4 linked regions of the Oreochromis niloticus genome follow. The protein of the gene in region 4 interacts with the protein of the main gene of each other region in a pairwise test. Links are inferred from orthologs where the notes say so. Each region holds a gene or a part of one and is shown on either strand. Other genes may lie near its edges. The genes, in order: coro1a, esd, pbx3b and fsd2.

Region 1 (7,841 bases), on a different chromosome or scaffold from region 4:
ATGCTTTTAATCCTTTAATATTTTCCAGCGGCTAACTATAGGAGAGAGACAGTTTTCAGGTGGTGGATGCACTTCAGGTGTCACTATCTAAATCTTAGATCTCCTTTTTGTTCAGAACAATTTTCAACTTTGAGCATCAGTATCACGGGATGTGTACACTGCTCAATAAAATTAAAAACACATCAGATCTCACTGGGAAACAAAATCAAGTCTGGATATCTACAGCGATATGACTGGAACGAAAGGATGCCATGTCATTTGATGGAGATGAAAATTATGAATTCAAAGACACTGAAAAGTTATGTGGGAGGCTAGTCCAGGTAGCCAAAATGTCATTGCAGCATTTCAGAGTGGTTCTCCTGGAGGATCTCCATCAAGTGCTGGACCAGGGCATCGCTGGGCTCCTGGACAGTCTGAGGTGCAATCTGGCGACATTGGATGGACCAAAACATAATGTCACACAAGTGTTCAATTGAACTGGGTCAGATGAGTGTGGGGCCCAGTCAATGGTGTCAATTTCTTCATCCTCCAGGAACTGCAGGACACACTACACCAGTGTAGTCTGACAGTGGGTTCAAAACTTTCATCCCGTTATCTCGGTTATCACTGCTGAGCCTGTAGAGGTCTGTGTGTCGACCACCAAACCGGTGATGCTGAGTGACGCTAGAGGCTGCATAATATTCTCCGGACTCTGTCATGTCTGCCAGAGCCCACTAGAGGGCGTCAAGCCCTCAGGCCAGCCCTCACACCAGTGGCCTGCTGGAGGCTCTGGCATTGCTCATCAGATAGCGATCCTGCGGGGGCTTTTTGACATTTTTGCCTTCATTGAATTGTAAGAGTGAAGACAGACTGGAAGCAGGGAGAGAGAGAGGAGGACAGACATGCAGCAAAGGGCCACAGGTTGGACTCAAACCCGGTCACGCAGCATGGGGTCGCCTGCTCACCCACAGAGCTAAACTGGCACCGAATGTCCCAGAAAGTCAACTGACTTGATTCTATACTCTGATTAAAAAGCGTTCCTTAAATTTGTTTGAACAGTTTATTGTCTAGGATGTAGAGTGACAGAGACCTGGATTTGTTCTGATACGTCCAAAACAACCTGATTTTTTTTTCCCCCCTCTGATTCCCCTTGTATCAAAATTAATTCTTATATGTTCATTTTTAAATGGTTGTCAGATTTAAGTTTGAGATTCTGTCTGCTGAAAGAATTACAAATGTGTGAGTGAAAATGGTGCAATTCAAAGTAACATTTACAAGAAGGGGGTCAGGTGGGAATCTTTTTTCTGATTTGGCTGATTTTAATTGAATTACCTACACACAGGCTGATATCTAACTGTACTGTATACTGTACACCCCAGATTATTCACAGATGTAAAACATTCAAACAGCTGCCAGTCAAAGTTGCATCTCAACAAACCACATGAATTCAGCCATGTCAGAATCAGTTTCTCTTTTAGCACATAAACACATTGTGGCTATAAGTATAAGGATGTTGAAAAGACGGTGCATAAAGCTGCATCTGGCTAGAAGGAAAAAACACACAAAAGTAGAAGAGTTGGGCAGATTTGAACAAAAGGCTGGCAGTGGCAAGGATATCGATGGTTACGCCCTTGTCCAGTACAGAGGATGTATGCTGTATCACAGCTGGTCCAGATGTTTCACTAACTCATCTACAGGTTTTGTAGAGGGTTGTAGGAGCCGTGGCAGTTGTCTGGCTTGAAATGACAACTGTAATATTCACGTTTTGACTTTTTTCTCAAAATACTATTTTGAGTTTAATCTTGAAATTTCATCTTAAATCTCAAAATGGACACTTTTCTTAATGTGGCCCTAATACTCTGTTGTACTATAGTGTAACTTCCAGAGTAAATAAAATGTTTTAAAATCTTTATTGGGGCCAAAGTTGGTAAATACTATAAGTCTGGTCTTACTATATTTGACTGGTGATTCCATGCATTGAAATTAAAGCTTATTTTATATTTTATTTATTTATTTTTTATCAATTCTTTTTGGGGGACTTTGGTATTTGCAAAGGGAAATACATTTTAAGAAATAAATCAGTTTATGTTGAGTTTGTTTGCAGCAATATATCTCAGAAACAGCTTGCACAGGGCCATTTTTGCTACTGTGTAGCATCCTCTCTTCTTTAAACAACACTCTGTAAACCTCTGGGAACTGAGGAGGACACCAGAGGTTGGACTTTTGAGGGAGGAATGTTGCCCCATTCTTGTCTGACAGACAATTGTAGCTGCTTAACAGTCCTGGGTCTCCTTTGTTGTATTTTTGGTTTCATAACACTAAATGTTTTCCATTGGTCAAAGGCCTGGACTGCAGACTAACCACTTCTACTATAAACCCATGCTGCTGTGATAAATGTGGTATGTGGTTTTGCATTGTCTTGCTGCAGTATGCAAGGCTTTCCCAGAAAAAAAAAGTACTATAGTCCAATGTGACGTAGGCATGCCCTGGTAAGGAAATACAGTTGTCCTAGTTCTGCTGCATTAAACCAAATGATATGTGAGTGTCATTTGCACACATGTTTTTACACTTGTGAGGACAAGTGTAAAAACATGTGTGCATGAGGTTTTCTGTCAAAACAACAAAAAACAGGAAGTGCTTTAGCTCTGCTACTCAGGGATTAGACTGAGTTTGCTTTTATAATAAAACTTATAGAATAAAAGTTTAGAATTTTAGGAGTTGAAAAGTTCTCCCTGCTGTTTGAGTATTGCATTTCCTTATAGTTGAAGGATTTAAAAGAGGTTTAAAAGAGCACACCTAGAGGCCCATGCATTCAAATGATTCTCCTTTGGCTGCTCCTTTTAGCAGTCACCACAGGGGATCATGTGCCTCCATCTCACCTTGTCTCTAGCAATCACCTCTGTCACACCAACCCTCTTTCACAAGATCTGTGACTCTTCTCTGTGGTCTTCCTCTTTCCCTCCAGCTGGGCAGCTCCATGTTCACCATCCACTCACCTCCTCTGCACATGTCCAAACCATCTCAGCCTTGCCCCTACAAATTGCTCAGCCTATGCATCTTCCCTTTTTGCACCTGTCTCATTTTCATCCACACAGATATTCTGCCTTGCCTCTACTGACTTTCATTGCTCTTCACTCCAGAGCATACCTCCACCTCTCCAGGCTCCCTTTGCAACTGCTCCCTACTTTTGCTACAGATCAGAATGTGCTCTAAAAACATCATAAATCATGGAGACTCCTCAATGACCTCATCTGGTAGCCTGTCCATCACCACTGCAATGAAGAAAGGGTTCACAGCGGTCCCACACAGACTTTGAATTCTGTCCTGCACCACACATACTTCTCTGTCATTCGTGACTTCCTCATTCAGCAACACAGTTCCTCTCTTAGCACCTTAACATATGCCACAAAGATGCACTGACGCTCCTTTTGACCTTCTATGTACTTCTCCATCAACTCTCTTCAAAGCAAAAAAAACCTGACTATACTGCCCTTTAGGACCAGTACACTTTTCCTCCCTTCCTCAGACATCCTCTCACTCTCCTAGGCTTTGGTAAACAATCTGTCAATCTATCAAGTCCACTTCCCTCTCTCCCAGACATCTCCACTGGTATATCATCTTTACCAACCACCTTTCCACTCTTCATCTTCTCATGGCTGCCCTGACTTCCTCTTTTCTAATCTCGTGCACTTCCCGATTCACTAACTGTCCTCCTCTCTCCCATTTTCTTCACTCAGCTCCTCAAAATACTCCTTCCACCTTCTCAACTCTCTCTTCACTCATAAGTACATTTTCATCTCTTTCCTTAATCACCCTGCACATCTTTTCCAGCTCGATCTCTCTGCCTAGCCGATCAATACCAAGTCATTTTCTCCTTCCTTAGTGTCCAGCCTCAGATACAACTCACCAAGCCTTTGCCACCCCTCAGTTTCCACTACACCTAGCCTCCAAGCACTCCTGTCTACTTTCTTTGCTAACCTCTTGCAATGGTTAAACTATTAAATTACAGCATCCCTCATTTCCCATAATGTAAGAGTAAGCCTTTCCACAGGCTGAGTAATCATGACTAATAAAGTGGCATCATGTGTAAAAACAGCTGATTGCCAGTTTAAGTCTAATTAGGTTTGGTGTGAGAACAGTTTGCTGTAAATGTGATATGTAAATAAAGTGGGTTAGATTAGGGGTTAACCTGAAATTCAGGGTCCTTTAAGAAGCCAGTCTCAAGTCTTCAGACTCTGACAGGTTATTTGAAACATGATCTAAATAACTTTAATTTCATTTGCAATCATCAGCATGTAAACTGCAGGTGTCCCCAGTTAGACTCGAGAAACTGCTTAAAAACTGAAAATTAGGCCTTAAAAACTGTTTTTTTTTACCACCATCTTTGCTCTTGCTCCCACATATTTAAATTTAGGATTCTTTGTCTGTCTTAGGATTTGTCTGATGCCTTATATAAATCTTATAAAATAATAGCAGCAGATGAGAAGCCTCTTATAGAGTATTTAACTCTAATATCTGCAGAAATCATGAGTCAAAAAGAACAGACATGCACTGACATCCATCACTGAAGAAAATATTGAGTTTTTTTCTTAACTTAAACTCTGTGAGCTCTTCAGACACACTGCATTTATCTGTGTTGTTGGAAGTGAAGTGGTTCTGATAATCAGGTGACTTCTAAGCAGCAGTGGCCTGCATCTGTTTGCCGTTGTTGGTAAGTGTGGATTGAACTCTGCATTGCACCGCTAGACACTTTTATCATGATTCAATCCTACAAAAGATCTCATGCAGTGCCCTGTGTTTCACTTTGGTTTCTGCAGCTTGTTGCAGACGGCACATGTCACAGCCGACACCTCCTACTTCCACCTTGTTTGAAACTCTCACTTCCTCCCTGTCATTTGTCATGTACTTTAACCTACAGTCTCCTCTCGTGTTCTCATTCTGGTGGCAGGGCGTTTGGTGCACTGCCAAAACTCCTTGAGCTGAATCACCCCCACTCGACTCCCAGGTAGGCCCACATCATCTCTTTGCAGTCTCAACCTCTTGAAGATATCATCTTACCTGCAATCGGTGCATTGGTTAAAGAGGGAAATAGCTGAAGCTAACCGTATGTCATTAATTTCAGTGACACATTTTTGTTTCTCATCTTCCACATGGCCTTGAGTTTCTCCTATTTCAAGGCAGTGAATTGTTTCCTACTTCGTACTGGTCAATGTTTTCCATCACAACACAGAGAGATAGTGGTCGAGACAGATTACTGACATGCATTTAGAGTCCTGATAAAATTACGGCTCACTCTGTAAAGGATTATTAAATTAGCTGCAGAGAAGCCCGAGAGGTCTTGTGATGCACATGCAGCAAAACTAACTGTCATACGCTACCGAATCTGAGCTTAGGCGCGGCTGCAGATTTCAGGAAGTAAACTCTACAAATGGAGGTAAAGAAAGACTTATTTAGTGCTTTTCATCTGTTCCTGCGTGATGCAAAGTTCGTATATTTTGCAGCTGCTTTTGATTGAAGTTCTGATCTCATTGCGCACACAGACACATGCGTTTACTGGATATGTTTCAGCTTACTTCGTCAAATATGTCATTTAAAGCATGCCCTACATGCGGGGAATTAAATAACAGCATGACTGTATGAACTAAGGGAAAGAAAGGTTTGTGGTTTTGTTACTCTCTTTGTAGGATGTGGTGTAACTGCCGCTCGGGCAGCTTCTGTACCTTTTTTAAGGACACTGCATGTGCTTTAGATGATAAAAGGCCTACTTTTTTGTTTCCTTTCTGCTGTTTTTTTTGTACATTTGCTTGCTATTTAATATTTCTGTGTTTCATACACACATATTAAAAAGAGAAGGCGATAGAGTGCCAGAGTACCAGTCACAGAGGAAGCAGTTGTGAAAGCTTTTGCTTCTTCCTTTTTTAGCTTTCCTCTGTTGAGTCTTTCAACGGTTTCATCAGCTTTGTGTCTGTCAGATTATTTCCGCATGAAATCAAAAAGCACCAACAAACAATATGATTTATGATGACCCATAAAATAAATCTCTCTCAACTCTGCTACAGACTTCTTGCTCTTCTTGCACATTAATTTTCTCCTCTTTGCGCACTTTTTTTTCATTCTTTCTCAGTTCACCATGTCCAGAAAGGTTGTGAGGACCAGCAAGTTCCGTCACGTCTTTGGCCAGGCTGTGAAAGCTGACCAATGCTACGATGACATCCGAATCTCCCAGATGACCTGGGACAGCAATTTCTGCTCTGTTAACCCCAAGTTTGTGGCCATGATTGTGGACGCCAGCGGTGGGGGAGCCTTCATGGTGCTTCCGCTGAGCAAGGTGGGTCACAGGAATCACCAGGAAACAAAAGAACACAAATAAACCCACCGTTTGGCTCTATACTGTTTTATATACTTCTCTTAATACCATGTTTAGGTGTGTTAACTATTACAGATGCAGGTTGGGGATTAAATTTTGTTTTAGCAGCATTCTTGCACTTTAAAATTTGAATGCTGCCAGTCACCATCACACATTCAGCTAAATAAGGAAGTTTGATGCTGTCTTTGAGTCTGTCTACACGTCACTTGCTCTGCTGTTGAGAAGTTTTCACCATATTAGGAGTTTGTTGTCAGCTCAGTGTAGGAGGACAGGATGTGGCCTCAACCCACTTATTGTGCAGTCACTTAAAGAGGGCGTTAGGTTAGGGCTTGCAGCTCGTTTATTGCATTTTATGTGCCCGAAAAAGTGCAAAATTGCAAACCTTGTAGCCGAGTTAATGGCCAGCTGAATTTGTCAGAGGCTGTGAATTCAGTGAAGTGTCTGTCCTGATCACCTTTGTGTTCACTCGGGCTTGGGAAGTTCGTTGTGTGCAGGCACTGAAAATGCTTACAGTGAGGTCAGGTGTTTTTTATGTGATTGTGGTGTGAAGACTGTACTTCAGAAAGATGTCTACTCTTTTTTCACTGAATAATGTCACTGCTGCTTGCTGCTGCAGTTAGCTACAGAGAGATCACTGTCTCCTAGCATAAACTTAATTACCATCTCCTGCAACTAATTATATCATTAGAAATGAAAGTGACAAGAATCTGAACGTCTTGTCCTTATTTTACCTGACAATTATATTGTCCCACTTTGTGGTATTAAAAAGGCGATTTTAAACGATCTTAAATTTACCTTTGTGAAGCCTGCAGAAATCACATTATTCATGGTCTTATCTCGCGTCTAGCATGCGATTCTCAAAGGACAAAAATAAGTGCAGGGACCAGTGGGCATAAAATTGCAGAGCTGCGCTGTAGTGGAAAAAAACTCATCCTGTTTTGAACGTGATGCTGGCATGGTTGTGTCATCCTGCTTTAGGGCCCAGTGGTTTTTTTAAGGTTTTACCAGAATGAATTCAACTACATGGAGCTAAATGTGACTGACTTATAATGGAAAATATAAAAATAAAAATGATGTGTAATTGTCATTTTTCCCAGACAGCTTCATGACTGGGTTTCCTCTTCTTGGCCCTGATCTCATTTTTAACCCACTTAATAGAAATGAGCGCTCATTGAAGGCAAAGCTGTGTAATTGGTGTCAGCTGATAAACTTCTCCTCATCTAGCTTTGTCTTCTTTTTCTTCCATTTGCTCTTTGCTCTTTACGTTTTGTAGCTGCAGTGTTTTCTGCACTGCATGCATGAGTCATAGTCAATGTCCTCCTATCCTGATGCTTGCCTCTGCAGACAGGACGTATCGACATGTCCTACCCCACTGTATGTGGCCACACGGGTCCGGTCCTGGACATCGAGTTCTGTCCTCATAATGACAACATCATTGCCAGTGGCTCTGAGGACTGCAGTGTCATGGTAAGGCAATAAAGTCTGACACGGAATA
Region 2 (7,886 bases), on a different chromosome or scaffold from region 4:
GGTCAGACACCACAGAGTGAACAAAATTACTGCAACAATTAGTGCGACTTGAGATCTCGTTGCCTATTGATTGGGAGACCAATCTGTAAAAAAATCCAGTGCACTTACCTGGAAATCACAGATTCTTCCTCGTCACAGTCCAATGTGACTGAGGCTTAATTGTTACCATCACAGTGAACTTTTATTTTCTTTATAGATTTTCACAATTTACATAGCTATTTCTATATCCCTAAAAAGCTAATATAGCCATGTATTTATTACCAGATTTGCTGTTATGCCACCACCTTTTCACCCTTACATTTTAAACATATCTCCATTACTTTTAGCAAACAACTTGAGCATTTTTCAGTTAACCCTTAACCCCTAACCCATAGCCATCTTTTTAGCCATTACTTTGAAGCTACTCTTAAAAAATGTTGCCACTATTTATAGATTTTTTTTCATTGGATAATAGATTACTTTACGCTGTTAGCTACTTTTGGATATTGATAAATACACATTTTTTACATTTTTAACAATTAAAAATATTGAACAACCTATTAATTGCTCTCAGCTATTTGTTTCTTTCAGCAAACAATTTCTCCACTTAATTTTAGCTAATTCTGTAGTCCATAACTATACACCTATCGCTTTCAGCTAATCATTTAGCATGGTTAGCAAACTTAAAAATCTTAAGCTAACAGGTATAAATTTGAGGGTAAACTCTATAAATTAAAATCATCATCATGCTCTTTTTCTCTTTTTTAACCAAATTGATACTAATTCCAGCTTTTTGCCCTCTCAGGTCTATTTTCTCTTCTCCAGTTAAACAAACAATGCATTGCTTAGCACCTGTCATGCATTATACGAGTCAGGATGTTCCTGTCGATTTATTTACTAAGCTTTTAAACAAGAGAAAACTAATTAACTAATCTAAAAGACAGAAATGTTTAACATTTACAGACTTTAATCTAATGGATCAAGTTAAACAATGACTCAAAAACTCACCAGAGAGCCAGTACATGACGGGACACTTGTCGGTCTCAGCCTTTGGAGGCAGATAGACTGCAAACTTCATCTTACACTTCAGCTCAGTGCTGCACAGAGTAAATACAAACAAGTTAGTGCACTCTTCTGTCACATTTATACACTTTTACACACATGAGAAAGTCACTGAAGGTGAGGCCAAAGGAGTGTCTGAAGATGTGTCACACCTTTCATGTTCAAAAACCTTCTGGAAGCCGCCAGCGCACTTGTTGGAGGACACTAGTGTGAGGGCCATCTTTGATCTGAGGACATACAGCAGCAGAGTAAACGCAAACACAGTGTACTCCTGCTTAAAGTAACTCAGACTACATCCATCCCACATTACTCAACTTGCCATGTACCTTCTGTTTGCAGAAAGCGGCCAATTAGAGGAAAGCAGGGTTAAAGGGGGTTGTTTCAGTCAAAGGATGAGCTGAGAAGCTAAACTGAAGCAACATTTGAAGTAAATACAGGTTATTTCGATCATGAATCATACTGAGCTTCTCTAGCTGAGTCTAGGAAGATCGGGGGGGGGGATATAGAGCTAGAAACTAGCAAGTCTTTGAAATATGGACTGCCTGGCTTTCAGAATCAGAATCAGAATCACAAAGGGTTTTATTGCCAAATGTTGAGCAGGTTTACAACATTAGGAAATTGCTGCGGTACTTAGTGCAAACATACTGTTATACAACTCTTAAATAGACATAAAAATAAGAATTAAAAGTGCTAAGAGGATAGATATGTACATGAGTGCAAGTGGTGATCAGTGCCAAACATGGAATGATGCAGTGAACACAGTGTAGGGTCATGTGTTAGTGGTGGGAACAGTCATATGGTTATTGTTCATGAGTCCAACAGCAGAGGGGAAGAAACTGTTCTTGTGGCGAGAGGTTCTGGTGCGAATGGACCGGAGCCTCCTGCCTGAGGAGAGCAGGTCAAACAGATCAAACAGGTCAACATATCCTACTACACCCTAATCATGTGTAATACAGTATTGTGATATAACTGTTAGTTACTGTCCACTTGGATTGACCTTGGCTTAGTTGTTAAAACTGTTTATTAGCAGCAGCACTGATAATAAGTCAGGTTAAGCAGCATTCCCATTTAAAAGAACTGTAACACTCCATACATGGCTCCATGAATGAACAGGTAAACGCTCAGCACCAACCCGAGAACCTTTCCATAAATGAGGCCCCGGATTTGATAAGCACAAATGCAGGGAGTCCAAACAGTAACAAGGTAGATGCAACTGATGTCGAGGTGGTTGTGAATAAGGTTCAGTTTAACTGGGACGGCTAAGAAGCGTCCGTTACTTTTCCACTGTACTCACGAGGCGACGTCGCTGCAAGTACAGTCGGCGAACTCTGAGAAAAAGCGATAAGTCTCAAAGTCTGAGGCAGCTGCAGCTAACAGAAAATGTCAAATCTGACCACAACAGCACCGAATACAACCACAGGTCAGTCTATAGGCTGCTGTCACCCTCCAGCCTTGGCTTAAAATAAAGATAACCCCTGGTACTAACGACAGTGACCAGGGCAAAGCACGCACAGTACAACATTTAACCCAAATGACGTCCTGCATGATGCCGAATTAAACATAACCGCTTCCTATACATGCAACATGTCTTTTAAACCATTCACACTAAGCTTTTATTAAGATTATACCCAGACGGAGTTAAAATGGTCAGCAATACAATACGAGTTTGGCGTGCAACAAATCGGGGGCGTGCAGGGATTAGCAAGTAAAGTTAGCCCATGTAGATATCTTTGAGTGGCATTTTTAATTTCTGCTTAAAGTTACATAAGTGAAAACACGGATACGCGGCAAAGCAGCAGCAGAACACATGACTAACACATACCTTATTAAATCAATCAGTTTATCAGTGTAACTGGATAAATTGCTAACGTCCCCGCCGATGCAGTGCAAAGCACCGAGTCCACAGTACGACAACGTCAAGGTTGACGTGATGACGCCACCCCCTAGAATTGTGCAGCACTTGACGTAACCCTAGATAGACGCTAGATGGCGCCGGTGTTTATCAGGAAGAATGCTGCACTGCTAGTCACAGAGCAATAACCAGTAATACTTTTAACAATATTGTTAAATTATAATATCATGTTGTTTATAATATAATATATGTTGTTTATTATAATATCTTTATTTTACTTGTTTATCGGAATAAATTCTTAATATATTAAGAATTAAATCATATGCCTAAATCATGTATCATATTTTAGGAATAAAGCTGTAACATTATAAAACAGTAAAACAATTAAATGGCAAAGGTCTCAAAAGTAGGTTTTTTTCACTGTTAGACCACAAGATAGAGGCTTTTCATAGTGTCATGTTGTAATAGTGTACTCATTCTAATTAGTTTGGATCTGTAGGTCTACATAATTTGTAGTAAACCTGAGTGTTTTAGGGGGCACCTGCATTGCCCATGAATGGATGCATTACTCAGACATGTAATAACTGGTAACCTCTCTTTTCCACTTTTCAAAAGCAGAAGAAATCTCACTCTATGATCCAAGATAGACAGAAAATTGCATTTCTCTTCCTGTTATTTGTTTAAATTGTGTATGAAGTCTCGTTTCACTCCAATAAAGTCTGTCTATGTTTATCTGATTGTCTCTGTATGTGTGTAATTCTGTTTCTCTGCAACTCTCTCAGTCTGTTTTTACACCACCTCCCTAACTCCCTGCAGGTTTGCATCTCCTTTACTTTTCCGTCCATATCATCAGTTTTTTCCTGTAATCTTCACTCTCTTTTACCGTAAAGCACAACTTAGATTGTGAATTATTTATTAAATACAAACAGAGTACACTAATACTTGTGCCCAGTCTGTCTCTGCAGCTGCTTCCTAAATTAGACCATTTCAAATCATCCACCACCCCCTCATCCTCCCACCCCCCAACTGAAAAAAAAAAACACAGATTAAATTCACTCAGCAGCCTCAAATACACTCCCAACATGATTATGGTTACGCCTGCAGCCATGTGCTCTTGAGGACTCCATTGAAAACCGAATTTGTCACACACAAACAGTTTTCCTGCTCGTAATTCCATCGTTCACACAGTCGGTCAGGTGGAAGGGAAAAAAAGTAACGTTTCTATAAAAGAGATAATATTTTCAAAAGTAATGTCATATTTTAATAATTATGCCACAATTTTATTTTGAGAATAAAGCTACAATTTAGCATTCCAGATTTACAAAAGTACTGGGAATCTAGTCTTTATATATTAAATATTCACAGATACCTAGTTCAACTCTGAAGGCTAAAAGAAAAAAATGCTCTTCAGTTTTCATATTATTATTTGCTCGTGTATGAGATCAGCCGATCCCTGTGTCATCCCAGTAAGACTAACATTTTGCAGTCAAATCCATTGCTATAAAAGCATCATCAGGTGATGAGAGCTGATTTGGCTTCTCTGCGATGCAGAAGGCAGAGCTTTTGTCCCTGCATACGAAGTGGGGCTTTCATCAGTAATCAGCACCGTGACTTGCTGTGGAAGTGCAGGTTAACTACTGTTCTTTTGCAAGGAAGAATCTGACAATCCTTAAGATCTTATGTTATTTCACATCATTTTCCTTTATTTAACCAGGTAAGATGTCACTGAGAGCAATATCACTGACCAAGCATCTAATGTTAAATATATATATCATACAGACAATTACACAGTCTATGATTAAAGCTAATGTCAAACTGAAATTTGATGATAGTGTACAAATAAGTGGTCAAAATGAAGTACAGAAATTAGATTTAAGATCCTTTCCTTACTGGCGTCCACCACCATTTGCAGATCCCTCCAGCAGAATGGACCAACACATTTAAATGGTTTTATATCATGTATGATGAGTTTATAATGGAGGAACCAAGTGAAGGACACAAAGGAAGGCGAAATGAAACACAAGCAAAACAGTTTGTTGGCTGTTTATCAGTTCCAGTTCTTCCTTGTTCTCCAGACTTCTTGAAGGACATTCAAAGCTCTTCTTTGGATCTTGGCTGCCTTTTGTTCTGTTCTCTGTCAAGATGATCCCACGCTGCTTCAATAACGTTGATGTCTGGGCTCTGAGGAGGCCAATCCATGACTGAGTGTGTCTAGTCTATAAAAGTATGTTTTTACTGCATTGGCAGTGTGTTTGGGATCACTGTCATGCAGAAAAATGAAGTTGTTGCCAATCAGATGCTTTCCAGATGGTAATGCATGGTGGATCAAGATCTGACATGCTTTTCTGTGTTTGCAATTCAATCAGTTTTGACAAAATCCACAACACCCCGAACAATGACGGAGTCTCCAATGAGTTTTACAGACGGCTGTAGACATCCACTGATGTATTTCTCGTCTGACTTCCATAGAAGTGAACTAAAATTTTCAAATTTGGGTTCATCACTGCATTAAACCTGCTGTCAGTGATTCCAGTCCAGCTCTCATTTCCTTCCTTAAGAAAGGCTTCTTGACAGCGACCCTTCCATTGAGACCATTTCTGATGTGGCTTCAGGGATCAGTAGTCACGTGCTCTACATGGTAGATTGGAAATGATTGGGCTAAAACTGCATAGCTAAATGTATATAAAAGCATCCACAGTCAATTTATAATCACCAGTCAACCTCAAGAGTATATTGAAGCTCAAGCACTCAAAGAGAACCCACCCATGCAAACCCAGCTGACCAAGTGGGTTTGCATTAGATAAGATATATGAAGTTTAACCGGAAGGTTGCCGGTTCGATCCCCCTGCTCTCTCTGTCATGGTCATTGTGTCCTTGGATAAGACACTTCACCCTACCGCCTACTGGTGTTGGCCAGAGGGGCTGATGGCGCGATATGGCAGCCTCGCTTCTGTCAGTCTGCCCCAGGGCAGCTGTGGCTACAACTGTAGCTTGCCTCCACCAGTGTGTGAATGTGAGAGTGAATGAATAGTGGAATTGTAAAGCGCTTTGGGTGCCTAGAAAAGTGCTATATAAATGCAATCCATTATTAGTAACTTTAATCTGCAATCTGAATACGTTACTGGAGTAAAATGAGAAATCTTTAAATATAGCAAGTCACACTACGCAATGTTCCTTCGCAGAAGCTCAGGTTGACCAGGCTGTGTTCACCTGAATGTCTAATGCAAAGAGAGAAGGCAGAAAATCTGCTTCTCTTCTTCAGAATAACTTTTTTAGTTTTACAAGGGTTTTAGCAGCTTGCTAGGTACACACACAAACATTCACATGTACACACGTGCACATGTTCTGCTGAGAAACCTTTGATCATGGTATTCATGTGCATGGTTAATTACCGCTATCCCCACCCAACAATCAGTGCTGCAGATTGTTGGCTCAGTCCAGCAGGAAAATACACGCAGCGCACCACAAAAACTGCTTAGGAATGGCTCATTGAACACAACATACTGCCCGAGGTGTTGACCCAGCCTGCAAACGCTTCACATTCCAATTCGACTGAGCATCACGATCCACAAGCAAACAAGCTGCTCCCACTGGGCATATGCCAGACGCCATAGTACACCCCAAGAGGTCCCCAGCAGGTCAGCTGTTTGTGAGAGCATAAAAGAGGCCCACACAATATTACACAGGTAGCTTGCTGCTGTACCACATGTGCCCGAGAGAGAACAACAGAACAATAACGCAAAGAGGGCAGAAAAGCACACACACACTCACACATACCGTTGTCATGAATCCCACTCAAGCAAGTTATTGGATTCTGTTTCAGTCTGATTAAAATCACAACATCCTGACACGTGCTGACAGACTAACGACTGGCTTCTTCTCTATACTGTGAGTTTGTGTGTTTTGTGTGCTGGCGTCACTTGTGTTATGGGTGTCTGTTTACAGTCAGGTTGGCATGTTAGGGGGACTCGTTTGGGGAAACTGTCAGGGCTCCAGTTTTCACAATACAAAAAGACCGAAGACTTCCACAGGGAAACACAAAAGACCAGAAAAATACTCAAAATGACAACAAAGGGATCCAGAAATGATTACACAGCGACAAGAAATTACCACAAAAAGACGGGAAGAGCACAAAGGAATACAAACTAGGAAAAAAGACACAAAAGGCAACAAAGAACTGATCTACTGCTTAGGAATAATGGGGCACACAAAAATAACACTCACATGTTGATGTTTAGTAGGTGAATGCTTAGCATGTTCACTCGTTCCCTAAAGAACACTAGCTTTGGTGCTTAAGTAGCTCATCCCATTTGAGTTTAGCCAATAGGATGGCCATCAGCTGATATCAGGTAGCACTGAGATCAGCTGATACTCGGGATGAGATGATTCTCGGGCTGCCAGAACCAAAGCTCTGCTTGATTAAAGCTCCAAGGGGTGTGAAATATGCCAATAGAGTAACTGTCGACCGTTTCAGTGTTTGCATATAAATGATGAATTAAAAACCCATAAGAAATGAAAACATAATTCAGTTTCTATTTCCTAATTCTGTCTATTAATAAGGAGCTAATAACTGGATTGGACATGTGATCTTTTAATTACTTCATTTAAATGCAAATTTAATTAATCAATTCATTGTTTTAATTGGCTTTTAAAAATGGTAATTTCATTTGACTGATAGTAAATGAACACTGGAAAAGTTTTTAGTATTCCATTGCTTCACTCTCGACTCAGGCAACCACACAAAGACACAAAAGCCAGACCAGAGAGAAACTGCTAAATGAGAAACACAAAGAAATGCAAAACATCTACAAAAAAGCACAGAAAGAAATGAGGCAGAAAACAACTGCAAAGATACATAAAGTGACACCCAGGAGAGAAAAAAAAGTCTACAAAGGTGTCTTGATGCATGCTCAATCATCCAGGTAAGAAAATCCCAAAAAGTTGATTCTGTTCAGCCGCTCACTGTGGGCTAGTTTCATTCATTGTGCAAAGG
Region 3 (7,751 bases), on a different chromosome or scaffold from region 4:
ATAAAAATTATGACACAAAACTTGTAATTACAACTCTCAATAATATATGAATGAAGTGTGTGTGCATGCTAAAGGTTTTCAATCCTAGTCCTAAAAAAACAGAAATAACAGAGTTTATGCTCATATAAATATATAAAAAGAAGATTTTTTTTATTATTATTTCACAATCCCTTTCTCTAACTAAGCTTCCAGGAGATGTGTTGTTTGCATTTTCCAAGATCAACCATCCACCTTTGCAGGAAGGCTTTCATACAACTGCAATCGAATTATGAATTTGCGAGCCTGTCGTATAATCTGACTAATAAAAAAATCTCTTATAAGTTGATAGCAAAACGTTGTCAGGTTTTACAGCATGGATTCTGTGTGATCTAGGATATGTAGAGCATATGCTACGGGACTCCCCCAGCCTCTTCACTGGCAGGGTGGTGAGTGTGAAATCTGGAGCGCACTTTATGTTCAAATCCAAGCAAACCAGTGCTTTAAAACACACTTGCATAAGAAAAAAAGAGCATCTTCAGTGGAAGAAGACTCTGCCTATTGTTCCGTGACAACGGGAGTTTCTGAGTGGTACGGTGACATATTTTTAAAAAGTGACTGATTCATTCGGTCAGAGGTCACCTATAACCTGGATGCAGGCTGTCATCAGCTCACTGAGAGGTAAAAAAATAAAATAAGAAATGCCTGTGTGCTTTTATTGATTCTCCAATTGCATGTATCACTGTAACGATGGAGTTTATAGTTTGATATTACAGTATTTTAGACAAAGATCTTACCTGTCTTTTCTTTGATTTCACAGAGAACGCTGAAGAGTGCTGGTTTCATTCTGTGACAGTTCAGTCCGTGTTTCCTGTTTCAGTATAAGAGAAAATAAAATACTGAAATAAGTTCAATGATAGTTCACATGTCTGACACAAACAGTTAAAAGGGTTGGACACGCTTTTAAGTTTAGTTGCCACTTTAATAATGTTCCAATGTTCCAAGCCTCTTCTTCAGAAAGTTAGCATTTTCTTCTAAAATGTATAATGTGTCATGCTATTTTTATTGGGGGGTTTTTTAATAAAAGCATTTCATAAATAACACCAAGCCCTAATGTAAATATTAGTCTCAGTGGCAATTCCCTGCATAACATGAGCCCACTGGCATTAATTGTGTTTCAACACCACGTAGACTTTTGTAGATGAATGAACATTTATAAAACACGTGCTCTCTAGGACAGTTTAACTAAAATGCTGTGCTTCCCTCAGTGGCAACTTTCACTGTGTTAAAGCTTTGCGAGGCAATAAATACACCTCAGAGTGAGATTATCATTAAAGCCACTCCAGCCTATTGTTGTGCATTGGGGAGTTAAGTTAAACGGGCCACATCTCAATAATGATGCGTTCGGCGTTTTTTTTTTTTCTTTTCTTTTTTTGGTGTGGCGAAGTTAATAAAACATATAAATCAACCAACTTTGCTTGCGCCTCGTCCAGACTTTGATCAGTTATGGTCATTATTTGATGCAGAATGTCACCAATGTCTTGTTTTCTTCCGTCTCCGTCTGTCCCATCGTGTCCATGTGGAGGCGGCAGTGCCATGCCTCCTTGTACCGAGTGGCCAGCCAGACTGACACCGCCGATCGACTGCATGATCCGGGCTTGATCGTCCATAGTAGCCGCTAAAGAGTCTGTGCACTGAGCCACACAAATTGAAAAACTCATATACGAAATCGGCTACAACATGTGCCGCAGACTGGAAGGATGTACGGTTGTGTGATTCTTCGGCGTTAGGCAGCACACACGCGATTTTTGTCAAAAATATGCAGCAGTTTTTATTATTATTATTATTTAGCGTAAATCTTGTGTCCAAGTTGTCGTCGCTTTACGCGCGGTCCAAAGTGCCAAAACGCTGATTTTGGCTGTGTTTGTAGAAAATCGCATAAATATTTTTTTCTCTTCTTCTTTAAAACTTGTTTGTCAAAATTGACGGTCCATCACATCCCGCACGGATCCTCATAGCAATCAGTCTTTTCTCTGGGTTTTGACGGGCGGTAGAGACAGAAACGGTCCTTGGTGGTCTCTCATTTATTAACGCTCTTCGTGGGATTCCCGGCGCATTTCCTTTCGAAAATGTCCAAATCCTCCTCGTGAAGCACCGGCAACAAAATTAAAAAAAAAAAAAAAAGATATCCGCTGTGAAAACGTGTAAACAAATAAAAAAAACAATCTTAGGCTCGCAGGTGTCAACTATAAATGTGCAGAAATTATCCCCGCGACAACTGACAGTATTTAAAAAAAAATACACAATCTGCAGCAAGGTTTCCAAATGTGACTACAAAAAATATGAAATGTACAAAAAGTTGGGAGATTTCTGCCTAGAAAAAAAAGCAACGGCGAGAAGAAATTAATTAGGAGACAACGCTGTATAAAGGCGATGCGCAAAAAAATATCTTGCCCTTCTGAAATTTATGAGCTCCAGCCTCTGCCTGTGTGTGTTTTATGTTGTTTGATGGCAGCGGTAGTGAGCGATTGACAGTGTGCCAATGCCACTCACTCAGTGCAGACGTGTCAGAGCAGGGAAGAGGGCAGGAAAAAAAATAATCACAAAAAAAAAAAAATACAAAATACGAAATGAAAATGCACGCTCCGCCCTGCAGAGGAGGGGTCTATATTCTTGTCACTTCTCGCCTGAACACCGAAAAACAAAATGTTAAGCGCTAGTACTTAGGATGGTGATTATAATGATGAAAGCACGGCTGAGTCCCCTCTCTTTCTTGCAACAGCGGCAGCAGGGTATCCTCGTTTCCTCACGCGTGCACGTGCAGCTATGTGCATATTCTCTAGCAATAACAAAGATTTAGCTCTGCAGCAATACAAGCAAACACATAATGAGAGTTTTTATACAGTTTGATGTAGAACTGCACAGTCCCTTGTAAGCCTCGGTTCAAGCCAGGCAAGCAGTAGACATGTTTATATTATTGGAAAGTAAAGCTCCTCGACCAATCCCGGGCGAGAATGACGAAGACTGACGAGCTCCGCGTCCTATGCTGGCAGATGCATGATGCCGAAAGCCCACCCACTTCATCCCTCCATCTTCACCACAGCTCTTACAAAAGGATGGGAACTTCTGATTGGTCGTTGCTACGAGTGACATCCACTGCACAAGCAGGCGGCGCTGCTCTGTGCTCCTTCGCAGTTGCTATGGCAGCAGACAAGTTGTTGAGCCGGAGGAATGGCAGCAAATATACAGTGCACCTCTACTATAAGCATCGAGATCAGAAAAAAAAAAGAAAATAGGGGGTTTCCCTTCAGTTAAAATGAATTCAGCGATAACGTGTAGGAATAAAGGATGTGGACAGAGTTTTATACGAAGAAAGCACATTTTCAAAGGAGGGCTTGTGTTGTGCAAAGACGTTAATGGTGAACTTTTGATGAATAGGCTTTGCTTGGTTCTGATTACCCTGCAATGAAGTGACAAAGTCACATAAACATTATTTAAGCACGGCCGTGTTGCAATATATGGTCTTGTTTGCTCAAGTGAGTTGTTAAATTCTCCACCAGCCACTTTTCTTCCACCCTGACATCACTGAATAAATGACGTCTAAGTAGTTTAAAGTGGCCCATCCAGTGTTTCACTGGACCTCTGAAAAAGCAGAAACGCTGCCTAAAATGCTATTTATTACTTCTGAAGAAAAGTGCTATATCCAGTTGGTAACTGTGTTCAAAGGTGAATGTGCAGCCATCAATAATGGAAGTGGGAGTTTCAGCAGGCAGCATGGTGGTTCAGCGGTTAGCACGTCTGCCTCACAGCCAGACTCCTGGGTTCAAACTTGGGCAGAGCCCCTCTGTGAGCGCACTCTTCCTTTACGTTATGCATGATTTCTCATAGTAAAATAATTTTTTTTAAAAACTAGCCTGCTGATTTGTACTGTGGACGCAAAGTACTTTACAATATACCAGGATGTAGCATGATTCTTCTAAAAGCACCTTTTAGCACACTGAGTGAACATGTGCATTTAAAATATCTATTTATTTAGTTATTTTTGCACAGTTAATTTCATCAAAATACAAACAGGATGTTCTGTATAGTCAACATCTGCCTGTAATTTTGACTATGTTGCATGTGTACATATTTATCAGATTTGGAATTAGCTTAATTCATGAAACATCAAATGTAGAGAAAAACTGTAACATTTTTGCCAAAAACAATCATAGATGTAAAAAAGACTAAATCATGCATGTGCAGCATGTATATCACTCTTTTAAGCAAAATTTAAAAGTAAATAGACTTGCAGAATGACAATAAGTTTATTTGTTTTTGTCATATATCTGTTTGGTTTTGCTTATTTGAAAGGTTTATGTTGACCTGCCCTGCGTCTACAGATGTAAACTACCAGTTTCTCTGTAATGTGACATCTTTGCATTTTAAACATGTCATGTATAGTTGACAAATATACATATTTGGTATATTGATGTTCATTAAACTGTGTTGATCCTTTTAAATAAAGAGAAAGAGATTTTTTTAAAAAAATGAAAAAGAGCTCATTCATTTTATGGAAAATGTAAGTCTGAATTTGATGAACACCAGAAGTTACTGTGACATGGAAAGTTGGCATCATGTTCAACTTGTGAGTCTGTCAGTGCGTCATCATGAAAAACTGTCTTCCTGGAGACAACTACTGTAGCGGAAACTACCACAAAAGCACTTCTGAGTATTTTGGCAGGTGTTTGTATGTCTGTCTGTGGACAGATTTTGTCAACACGGCAGTGTCGCAATTGTACAGTATAAAGCTTCAAAGATTTACAGATGTGATGCTGAGCTCAAAATGAAGGCAGGAATCAAAGATGTGTGTTGTTTGACCAATAGAGGGACTGCTGGGGGCTATGGCAGCTTCACAAAATACCACCTTCTTCTTAAGCTTGAATATGTTTGTAGCTCCCTGATTAAGTGTCTTTGTCATTTATATGAAAGTTTGATATCTACTAGTAACAGCTGATATTGTTTTAACCTTGCTCTATTTGTCTTTGTGTGTACGTCTACCTGTGTGTGTGTGTGTGTGTGTGTGTGTGTGTGTGTGTGTGTGTCACTGTGACAAAATGTGGTCGTCAAGACAATGTTGCAGAAACCACCACAAAGGCGTTTTTTAGTGCTTTGGCAGGTGTTCGTCTGTGTGTCTGTTGACAGATTTTGTCAACATGATAGTCACAACTCTGCAAGATGCAGTTGCAAAATATTATAGGTGTGTAGCTGACACTGGAATAAAGTAAGAGACTGACTATGGGTTTGAGACTATGGCTGTGGACTGTGGAAATCTCGCTGATGTGATCCAGTGTGTGGTCTTTACTTTCTCTATGGCAAATATTCAAAAACAGCGCGTTATAATAGTGATGTCACACATAGCTAACGCATTTTAAGCTCTGATGACACCTGTGAAAGTTACCTGTCTCATATAGATGGTAAAGATAGATACAATGTGGCATGACCATATTTTACATCACTGCATTATCTGTTCAGCATTATTAGAATCATCTTATTACTTCAGGAAGTGCTCCTTTTTGAATATTTTCCTGGCAGCTGTCAGGGGTCCACGTAATACTGTATTAAAATAGTGAATAGTTTTAGCGAATGATTCATCTTCATGAGTCAGAACTCAGTTGTGAAAAGGAAGCAACTTTTACTGAAAGAAATTCGTTTGAAGTCATGATACGGTGAGTCATTACTTAAAATAACTTTTCAGCTTCTGATTTTCTTACTAGAATAGGTCAGAAAACCTTACCTATAAATGAATATATAATTGTTTCACAATAAAATCGACTGACGTGGTCAAGTTAAAGGAAATCACTGATGCTGAAAGTTTGCATTAGTGTATCTACCAAATTCCAAAGTTTGAAATGTTCACATCACAATCAATTTCAACATGTGAAGACGAAAAAAACTCTAATTTGTCTTTAGTGGTCTGTGTGGTTTTGCTCATTCATTTGACCTTGAAGTATGGGAGCAATGCACTCCTGAGTTTAGTGAATGGGAGTCCCAGGACTACTGCATTTATCATTGAAATACTGAGCTGTCAAGTCACACTGCATACCTGTCAAGAGGGGCTCAAAGGTACGGCTCCGACTCCTCTCCTCTGTTGCAGTGCATGATTCTTCATTGCATTGCATAGCAGGCCTATTCGCCGTTGTTTTCAGCCATATGTCAACATAATTCATTTCCGTATGTGACAGCTCCTTACAGTAAGACACTGTGGGTCTACTAGTTGACAAAACCATCTTTACATAACCGAGGGGTTGCGCTAACCACTGCTGCTGGTGTGAAAACAGTGCAGGTCAGTTTATCTGAGGAGAAATAATTTAGACGTAATTTGACATGTTGTTTCCACAAGTACTGCATATTAGGTTAAATAAAATGACAATATTTTTACAAATGTGCTTAGCGAGGCATAGGAATAAGCACCTATGAGTGCAGAGACAACACTTTGTCATCATGCTTCTCATCGTGACATCTGAAAAGACCCACAGGTGCTGTGGAAAGTGACTGTGTTGTCATATTTCATTTAGGCATCCTTCTGCAAAGCTGTAATTGCCTAATTAGCTTGTTAATTAGGAGATTAGCATTTACTGATAGAGTGGCTTGCTCTGTTGTGATGAGAGTAATACAGATTAAGTGAGAAGTTATGGGTGCATGAGTTCACAATTTCGCTGTCCACAAAAAGGGTCAGAAATCATTAAAGGATTTGTGAAATCACCGGGTGTAGTGCGAGTGAAGATGTCTTTTCTCCCGGCTTCCTTGTATTTGAATTGGTGTTGAAGAAGGTGAGAGAATGCAAGAAGGCAGCCTGTCACGGAGCGGCGAGACACTTCCTGTTCTGAGTGTCGCCTGTATGATCCCCTGTTGCTCAGGGAGATTGAAGGAAATGACCTAGCAGACGGTGCCAGGGATATTACTAACCCAATTATAAACAGCCTTTCATCTGGTTTGGATATTTTATTTATTTCTTGATATTTGTCGCTGCTGTGCATGCAATTCATCTTCATTGTGCTTGTAAATGTTAGAGTGGATAGAAGTAGCATGAATATTGGTTTAATCTGCAGGAAGCAGTGCCATTAAACATTTTGACGTATATGCTTCTGATGCGGGTGCAAGTCAGGTAGAGTCAGGTTACTTTTATTCATGTAACACACGCTTCAACAATACAAATACACACAAATATCCAGGATGGGTAATACACATAAGGCAGACACAACATGATAACTCATAAACACAATGAAAAACTGAAGTAGAATCAAAAAGTATGTATGGAGAAAGTATTCACATCCTTAATTAAATTAAAAATCCTGCTTTCCAAAGCATTGTCAGCAAAATGTACTTATAGCACCAACATTAAAAGTATTCATTATGCAGGACTGTGGCTCTCGTTAATTGCATTTTCATGAAGCACTTTTAAGTTGAAGCTCATCGAGGAGGAGTTGATTTTAATTGCTTTATGTACTGTTGAGTGTAAAAATAAAGCTACTTACGTGTTTTGGACATAAAGTCTTCTTCTGCAAAGAAATTAGTGGAGGCTTTCAAGTGAACTTTAAAATACAAATGCAAAAGAAATAGAAAGCAAACTGAACACAGTCTCAAAAAGAAAATATAGATACAAAAGTACTAGTAAATAGTAAATATTGGTTGACAGTTTACAGGAAATACTGTATGTGAGGTTAAACTAATAAAACGTGATACCTCTCAACCATGTTTCTGGTACATGACAGAATTTTGCTACTAATAATAAG
Region 4 (7,557 bases):
TCCTGATACTCTTTACGGTCCTATCAAAATAAAGGCTAAAAATTCCCTTAAAAAAAATAATGTTCTTTCACCTACATCACAGAGTTTGAGAACCACATTAGACATAGTGATGCAACAGGTCAGTCTATTCATGAGTGCTGTGTGTGGCTCAGCAATAACAAATGAACCAGTTAAGAGTGAAAAAGACCTTTATGTGATCACTAAAGGACATATAGGTCAGTGCTGTGCAAAAGTCTAGAGCCACCTCTCATTTATTTATATTTTGCTTCCAAGGAGTCAGACTTAGAGAACACCTAACAATGACACATGAATTACTGAAGCATGGACCAGTGTTTACACAGAAGAGACAACTTAGTAAAAAACATTTTATTCATTGTGCTATTAGCTGAAGACTTAGCAGCAGCTCAGCATCATGTACAGTGTGTCCTTAAAAGACTGGGTAAGTGGAGGACAAAAGAAGTGGCAGGTCTAAAATCTGTCGACAGCAGGTAAACAGCATGTGGAAGTCATGTCTTTAAGAAACAGGAATACATCCAGGAAAGTCCTGACACAGGACCTGAGAGATCCTTGTGATGTTTTAGTTGATCCATCTACTGGTCAACGAAGTAAAGAAGCAATTCTTAAGAAAGGGAAACAAGAAGAAAAGGCTGAGGTGTGCCAAATTACATAAGAACTAGACTGACAAATCACTGACAACAGATCTTATGGAGTGATGAACCCAAATTTGACATTTTTGGTTCAAATCACTGTCGGTGAGTGTTTACAGTCATCTGTAAAACACGGTGGAGGCTCCGTCATGGTTCGGGGCTACGTTTCATTCAGGGGTGGTGTTAAAAATAATGGAATTATGAACACAGAAAAGTACCATCACATTTTGGTCCATGTTATCAAGAAAGCGCCTAGTTGGCAACGCCTTCCTTTTTCATCATAACAATGATCCCAAACACACTGCGAGTGCAGTAAAAGTATACCTGGATAGAGAACCATAATAAAACACCATCAGTCACAGACTGGCCTCCCCGGAGCCTGGACCTGAACTTTACTGAAGCAGTGCGGGATCAGCTTGACAGAGAACAGAACAAAAGGCAGCCAACATCCAAAGAAAAGTTTTCAATGTCCTTCAAGAAGCCTGGAGAACTATTCCTGAAGGCTACTTAAAAAAACTACGAGAGTGTTCAGGCTGTGTTGATTAAACTTTGTACAATTCTAACAAGCTTGAAAGTCAATTTTGCCTCACATACTGTATTTTTAGATATGTTTATATGTTTTGATAAATCACAAATGCGGGGGGGGTGCTGGAGCCTATCCCAGCTGTCATAGGGCGGGACAGGTGTCAGTGGACAGGTCGCCACTCTAACACACAGAGACAGACAACCATTCGCGCTCACATTCACTCCTGCATTCACACCTATGGGCAATTTAGATTAATCAATTAACCTATCCCACGCAAGGAAACCCACGCAAACATGGGGAGAACATGTAAACTCCACACAGAAAGACCCCGGGCTGATGGTGGAATTGAACTCAGGACCTTCTTGCTGTGCGGCAACAGTGCTAACCTGCCTGTTTTGATAAATCACTGCACCTATTTCACATTTTCCTAGCAAAATATAAAGAAATGAGGGGTTGGCTCAAGACTTTTGCACAGTATAGTAAAAAAACACTTTAAAGCATTTTTTCCACTGTCAAAGAACACTTTACATTAAACATGTACCATAATCCTCCCTTTTCATTTTCATCAAAATCTTAACTTTCTGATATCAACACTAAGTGCATCCCCTGCATGTTATCGTGTACAACATTCTAACAACGTGTGTATTTACAAGGATGTCCATCTTGTAAAGGCAGGCCAGCTCTCTCATGTCCCTGAAAGGCTGCAGCAGGTACTGGAAGAAAGTTGTGGCGACAGTCGCCAGGTCCTGGTAGGCCTCGTCTTCTTCCTCATAGATGCTGAGCAGCACGACCATCCTGTCAGCACCGCTGTGACTTTGTAGCAGCTGTGAAGATGAAAAAACATAAACACCATGATCCGGGTTTACCCTGAGCCCACAGCTTAGTTTTGCTCTGTATGACTTTTCATACTCAGAATGAACCAATCCAATCCGTGCCGGCTAACATAAGAGTCGATAACTAGGCCTTTCAGAATACAACTTGGGTGGGCTGAAGGTAGACTTGTGAAGACACTTCAAGATGAGGTTGGTGGTTGAACACCACAGGGATTCTTGGACCCGGTTCTCCGATGTTGACCACTGAAGTCAAACAAATTCAGGTCTTAAAAAACATTTTATGTGAGAGTGATGAAAATAGTGATGAAATATTTGGAACTGAGACGTCTTTTTGGTTAAGAAAATGTTAAATCGCTTGGATTCAAAATATGTAAATAGTTGGAAAATCAAGAGTTATCTATGCCCTGACATCTTCCAGCATACAAAGGGAACATGTTTGCTTTAGATATCAAAAACAATCAACACAGCAACACAAGCCTGCATCTGAGACAGCATAAGCAAAAGCTGGATATGATTTCATAAAGGTATCATATACAGCAGATCCGTAACAGTGGTTTATGTAGACATAATACCGACACTGAGTACAGATTCTGATACATTTAATCTACTTGTAGCGGTGCCATCAACAGTTTTTCTTACAGGTCCACTTGCTCATTGTTTCTGTTACCAATTCTTGATCAGAACCTTACATCTGTGTAAGGAAACAAACCAGCACAACAAGCACATTTTCAGCTCAGCGAGCTACATCATGATGCCTGTGGAAACAGGTACAGTGTGGGCATGTAAAAACTCAACTACCATAACTCAGACCACATTATTTTGATAAAAGGACATGATAAGCTTGGAGGCATGCATTCCAGCGATCTCCAGTGGATCTCAAATGGAACTAGATTTCTGCTTCAATGTCCAGCTGACGTATTTTGCTCTTCAAATGCCTCATTGGTCTATTGGCTGTCATTTTACTGCTTTTACTTCCATTTGCATGTGAAACAAACTAAACAGAGCTAAAGGGTCAGGTTGCAGGTTAAAGCAGCAAACAAGAGCAAACAAAGACCAGTGCTGGTGTTGTTGCAACATCTAGAGCCTTGGCTGGAACAGCAGCTGTGGTTTGCTGTGTCATGGTAGACCTGATTTAGGCCCACACCACAACTGAGAGGTGCTAATATGGCAGACTAGACCTTTAAACTTCTTGGGATTAGAGAGCATGCAGTCTTTTCTCATACTTCAGGGAATCATGTTTTTAAGTGCATCTAAGGTGTTGTAAGACTTCTCCTATCAGAGGTGGGGCACCAAGCAGATACAGGGCCAGTGTTGCCGATACCAATGCCAATACTTTTACCCTATAAAATGTAGATTACAAAGGGGAGAGCAGTGTGCCATGATTACTGATTGATTCATCATTAATTTACACATTCTGAACACATTTTAATGACCACTAAATCACTGTGATTTCTGCTTTCCACATTAATTAGTTAACACAACGTGTTTGGAAACTGATTTTCTGGAGACCTGGAATGTAAATGTGCCTGCCTCTAAAACACATTTATTTAACACAATCCAGTAGGCAACATACTGCACTTAGGGAACAGAAAAAGTCTCAGGCCTATCGCGCTGGTATCGATATTAGATCAATCCGCCCACCTCTACGCCTCACCTGTCTCAGGTGACCCTTGGCCCTTGACATCTCCTCCTGCAAGCTCTTCTTTTTGAACTCCTGTAAATTCTCAAAGTACTCCTCAACATCTCGGTCATCCTGTGCGAACAAGGTGTCGAGAACAATCTTCCGTCCGCAGAGGTCAATAGCGGTGCTGAAATACTTCTCGAGTTTCCTACACGGGGTGTCATAGTCCCTCTCGTCGTCATTGTCTGGACCTGATCTCCTACTCAGGAAAAGCAAGTCCCAAATGTTACCCTCTTCAAACTCCGTCAAATCCGGGAAGCAGCCTCCCAGGACGTCGGCCACGCAGGTGAACTGCTGGTGGACGTGCTTCAGATCGCTGACGGAGAAGAGTCCTGCCCAGCTCATCTGAGGGTCGTCGGCGGCAGGCTCGGATTTGCGCTTCTGCCGCTGTAACGTCCGGTTGTGGCAGGTGACGGCGAACTTGCACTCGATGACGTTCCACTGTACGATGAAGCCCAGTTTAAACGCCTCATCTTCCTCAAATATGTTGCTTTTAACGGCCACCCACCCCTCCAGACTGTCTAGTCGCTCACACTCTATGCTGTTCATCTTAAAAAGAGATGTTTCACTCTGGCCCCCGAGAAGCTGCTGGCTCTGTTTACAACGTCCGCCATTTGTCTGACGTCAGTTGCGTTCAACAGCCCCGGAAGTTATCGGTCAATATGAGCTAACGGTTTTACTAACACAGATATCTACCCTTTAAAGAATACGCTGTTTTGACATAGAATGGTAACCACGAAAAACCCAGCCTGGGTCACTAAGAGCAGGCGGGTCCCAATGCAGAAATTTCTAATCCAATGCGTTTGATGCGTCTTGAATTAAAGTTTACGAGGAACCTTGAATGCACCATAAGTCTCTGGTACTGCCTTTAACTTTGACCTTTTAATCACATGTTCGGGGATTTCCAACTCCTGAAAATTAAAGCATTTTACTTTTAGTTGTTGTTCCTTTACAATGTCAGCAAATCTCAGACCTCTGCGGACTTTCAATCACGTTTAATGAATCTATTTCATGAATAACGAACTTCCGGCGTAGATGTTTGGCATGCCTGTGAAATGTGAGCAAACACAGTCCCATCTATTTCTGTCACTGCTGTCCTGCCGGATACTGCTGCTGGCCTGAAAAGGTTGTTTAAGAACCAAACAGCTCCCTTAATTTTCCAGGTAAATTTGTTATCAGCTGCTTGCTCACTATAACAGTTCTGCTTTGTTAAATTCTCCTCCGATGCAGTTTCAGAACATTAACGGGTACTTAAGCCTCAGTCCTCCCCTGAGTCCTTGTCATCATGGACTTGTATGAGATCAGAGGAGGCAGGCTGGGTGTGATTGCAGAGGAAGCCGAGCTCCAGGAGTTAAGCAGAGAGTCTACTGCTATGGAGACCTACAATGTAGGCTCAACTCCATCTCCCACTGGAGCAGAAGATGGAAGTGATGGTGAGGAGGATGCTTTTAAGGAGGGAGAAACTGAGGTGAGGACACTAACTAACTACCTCTATTCAGCCACAGTCGTCTCACTGCATTTAATCACTTCTCTGAGAGAACGCCAGTGTGAATGGTAGCACAATACAGAAGAGTAAAATGAATAGCCGAGTGAGGGGAACATCTGATTAAGATACACTCATAGTAAACAGCAACATAAACTCTTAACTGTTAGCCCTCATCGTAGTCTGTGTTGCAGGTTTGAATTAAATGCGGAAAGAGCTCAAGCTTGTGTTATGACTGCTTTCAGGGGGAGATCATCTTGATTCGCGATCAGCTGCAAGAGAAGGTTGCAGAGATGGAGAGCTTTGCTGGTCATCTGGAAGAGATCTTCCTTACAGTGGAGGTACTACTCAAACGTCCAGTCTGATCTCCTTTGTTTTGACATAATTTTACTGTTTTATTATAATATGAATATGCAGAGATGCTTTTTTTTCTTTTTTTACTCATAGACAGTAATAAAGTCATCACAAGCCAATTTTATTACATCAAATTCTTCATTTTTCTTTGTTCTTTCCTGTACAACAAATGTGTTACCCTCTAACTCTGTCATATTATTGCACGTACAGGAGAATTTTGGCCGTCAAGAGCAGCACTTGGAACAGCACTACAATGATGTGCTGCAGACGCTGTCTCAGCGACAGGATGAGAGCGCGGCAAGGTTGGAGGAGGAGAAGAAGAGTAAGCTGGAAGCCTTGTACGGTCAGCTGCTGGCCTGCGGTCGGGCACTCGATGCCTCCAAGGAGCTCATCGAGACAGCGCAGGAGGTCTACCGCAGCCAGGACAAGAGGCTTTTCTTGAAGGTGATAAATGATTCCACTGGATCATATTTGCAGATGGCCCCAAAAATAAATAAATAAATAAAACATGGCCAGCTAATGCAATTGTGGACATGAAGCATTGATTAGCATTTATTCATTCATTTATTTTGCTATTGAAGTGATTTCTTTGGATTTTATTGACAGACAGTTATGCCCACAATTAAAAGGTAAGCATGAGGCTGCACAGTGAGTCTGCACGGTGTGACACTGCAGGTGTGATATTAAGAGACCGAGCATCAATAACATGTGCGATTTGTCTTCCCTTTAGTTTCAAACTAATTTTATTTAACTCTATATATTTTAAAATCCCAGCTGAAGATCCACTTACTAAACTTAGCACAAAAAGTAAGGAAATTTGTATTTGGTCAACAATTCTTTTTTTTGTAAGGTTGCTTCCTGCCAATAAATCTTATACGTCGGAAAGCCTGTTTATTTCCCCTTAAATGTAGCCACATTTATTAGGGAAAATGCATTTGTGGGCTGAGCAGCAGAGTTGAGTATGTGGGTTGCGCCTTTGAAACACTTGCCAAATTTCCTCTGCCAATACCAGTCAGCTTATTCTGCCACTGACTCTTGTTTGGTGTAGTTTATTGCACTGGATGATTAAAGTCTGAAGAAACAATTTATTCATTTAACAAACAGGGCCCTGAGTAGCACGTGGAAGATCCACACACAGCCACAACAGCCTGGCACCTCCTCCTCATGCTGGTCACCAGCTTGGTCACACACTGCTGTGGGATGGCATCTCAATATGGTTGTGTTGGCTGACTTGCGACAAATGCTGTTAAACTGACAATATGTCTTATTTCTTCAGACTTCAATCATTCATGTTCATTCATGGGCACAACCCACAGACCCAAACTCCATCCACTGTACAAAACATGCTTGCATGCTTGATGAAAAGCACGTAAAGTATTTATTTTATGGTCAAACTTTGAACATTGTAAGTAATCATTAGCCTGATAACGCACTGCACGCTTTTTAAAATCAGGGCTTTTTTTTTGTTCTGTACCACACTAGAATCGAGGAGTTTGCCAAAGATGAGGTTGACCTCACGCTGTCTACAAGTCTTGAATTCAACACACCGCTCGCTGACCTGTCAGATGTCAAAACCATGATGGACTCGATCAACGTCGTTCCAGGTCTGAATCTACAAATCGCCTCCTCTGGTTCACTTTCCGCCACCTCCTCTGTCACTTGAAAAATACAAATCTAGGAACACGCCGTCTCTTGCGTCACTGAAAATGAGAATCCTAATAATAGGAAGCACACAGAGGTGTCAGTGTTGAGCTTCAACCAGAACAGAGCTGTCTTAACATTTAGATTTTTGTACTCTAAAAAGACTTCTTGATAACTGTGCTGAATTTACAGTGAATCTCTGTCAAACAACCCCCAGCTCCATCTGCCCCAGTAATCAATCCCCAGATGCCCAACTCTGCCACTCAGACATCCCTGCGTGTGTGCTGGAGCTTGTTCTCTGATGACACGGTGGAGTACTACGAGCTTTACTACAGGCCGGTGCTGGAGGACACACCAGCAGACAGTGCCTTCACACCGCAGGGTATAAACCA

What was found.
Region 1: the proteins of fsd2 (region 4) and coro1a interact in binary tests that used the Homo sapiens proteins (3 or more experiments, as listed by UniProt). The two-hybrid records come from large-scale screens. The link is inferred for Oreochromis niloticus from reciprocal best matches to the Homo sapiens genes FSD2 and CORO1A.
Region 2: the proteins of fsd2 (region 4) and esd interact in binary tests that used the Homo sapiens proteins (3 or more experiments, as listed by UniProt). The two-hybrid records come from large-scale screens. The link is inferred for Oreochromis niloticus from reciprocal best matches to the Homo sapiens genes FSD2 and ESD.
Region 3: the proteins of fsd2 (region 4) and pbx3b interact in a two-hybrid assay, tested with the Homo sapiens proteins (3 studies listed by BioGRID and IntAct). The two-hybrid records come from large-scale screens. The link is inferred for Oreochromis niloticus from reciprocal best matches to the Homo sapiens genes FSD2 and PBX3.

What each region holds. Positions count from the first base shown.
Region 1 is NC_031969.2:29,278,342-29,286,182, forward strand, and holds the start of coro1a (coronin-1A), read left to right. Parts: upstream 1-4,833; 5' UTR 4,834-4,984; intron 4,985-6,103; 5' UTR 6,104-6,109; coding exon 6,110-6,307; intron 6,308-7,690; coding exon 7,691-7,813; intron 7,814-7,841. UniProt on the Homo sapiens protein: May be a crucial component of the cytoskeleton of highly motile cells, functioning both in the invagination of large pieces of plasma membrane, as well as in forming protrusions of the plasma membrane involved in cell locomotion.
Region 2 is NC_031987.2:29,737,919-29,745,804, reverse strand, and holds the start of esd (S-formylglutathione hydrolase), read right to left. Parts: upstream 3,020-7,886; 5' UTR 2,864-3,019; intron 1,452-2,863; exon of another isoform or gene 1,368-1,451; intron 1,269-1,367; 5' UTR 1,262-1,268; coding exon 1,194-1,261; intron 1,077-1,193; coding exon 988-1,076; intron 1-987.
Region 3 is NC_031977.2:11,506,192-11,513,942, forward strand, and holds the start of pbx3b (pre-B-cell leukemia transcription factor 3b), read right to left. Parts: upstream 3,001-7,751; 5' UTR 1,698-3,000; coding exon 1,450-1,697; intron 854-1,449; coding exon 774-853; intron 1-773. UniProt on the Homo sapiens protein: Transcriptional activator that binds the sequence 5'-ATCAATCAA-3'.
Region 4 is NC_031965.2:13,696,068-13,703,624, reverse strand, and holds the start of fsd2 (fibronectin type III and SPRY domain-containing protein 2), read left to right. Parts: upstream 1-4,543; 5' UTR 4,544-4,850; intron 4,851-4,917; exon of another isoform or gene 4,918-4,943; 5' UTR 4,944-4,972; coding exon 4,973-5,155; intron 5,156-5,415; coding exon 5,416-5,511; intron 5,512-5,734; coding exon 5,735-5,968; intron 5,969-6,130; coding exon 6,131-6,153; intron 6,154-7,006; coding exon 7,007-7,128; intron 7,129-7,382; coding exon 7,383-7,547; intron 7,548-7,557. Other genes in the region: whamm (WASP homolog-associated protein with actin, membranes and microtubules), read right to left, coding at 1,824-1,997, 2,040-2,052, 2,113-2,249, 3,661-4,236.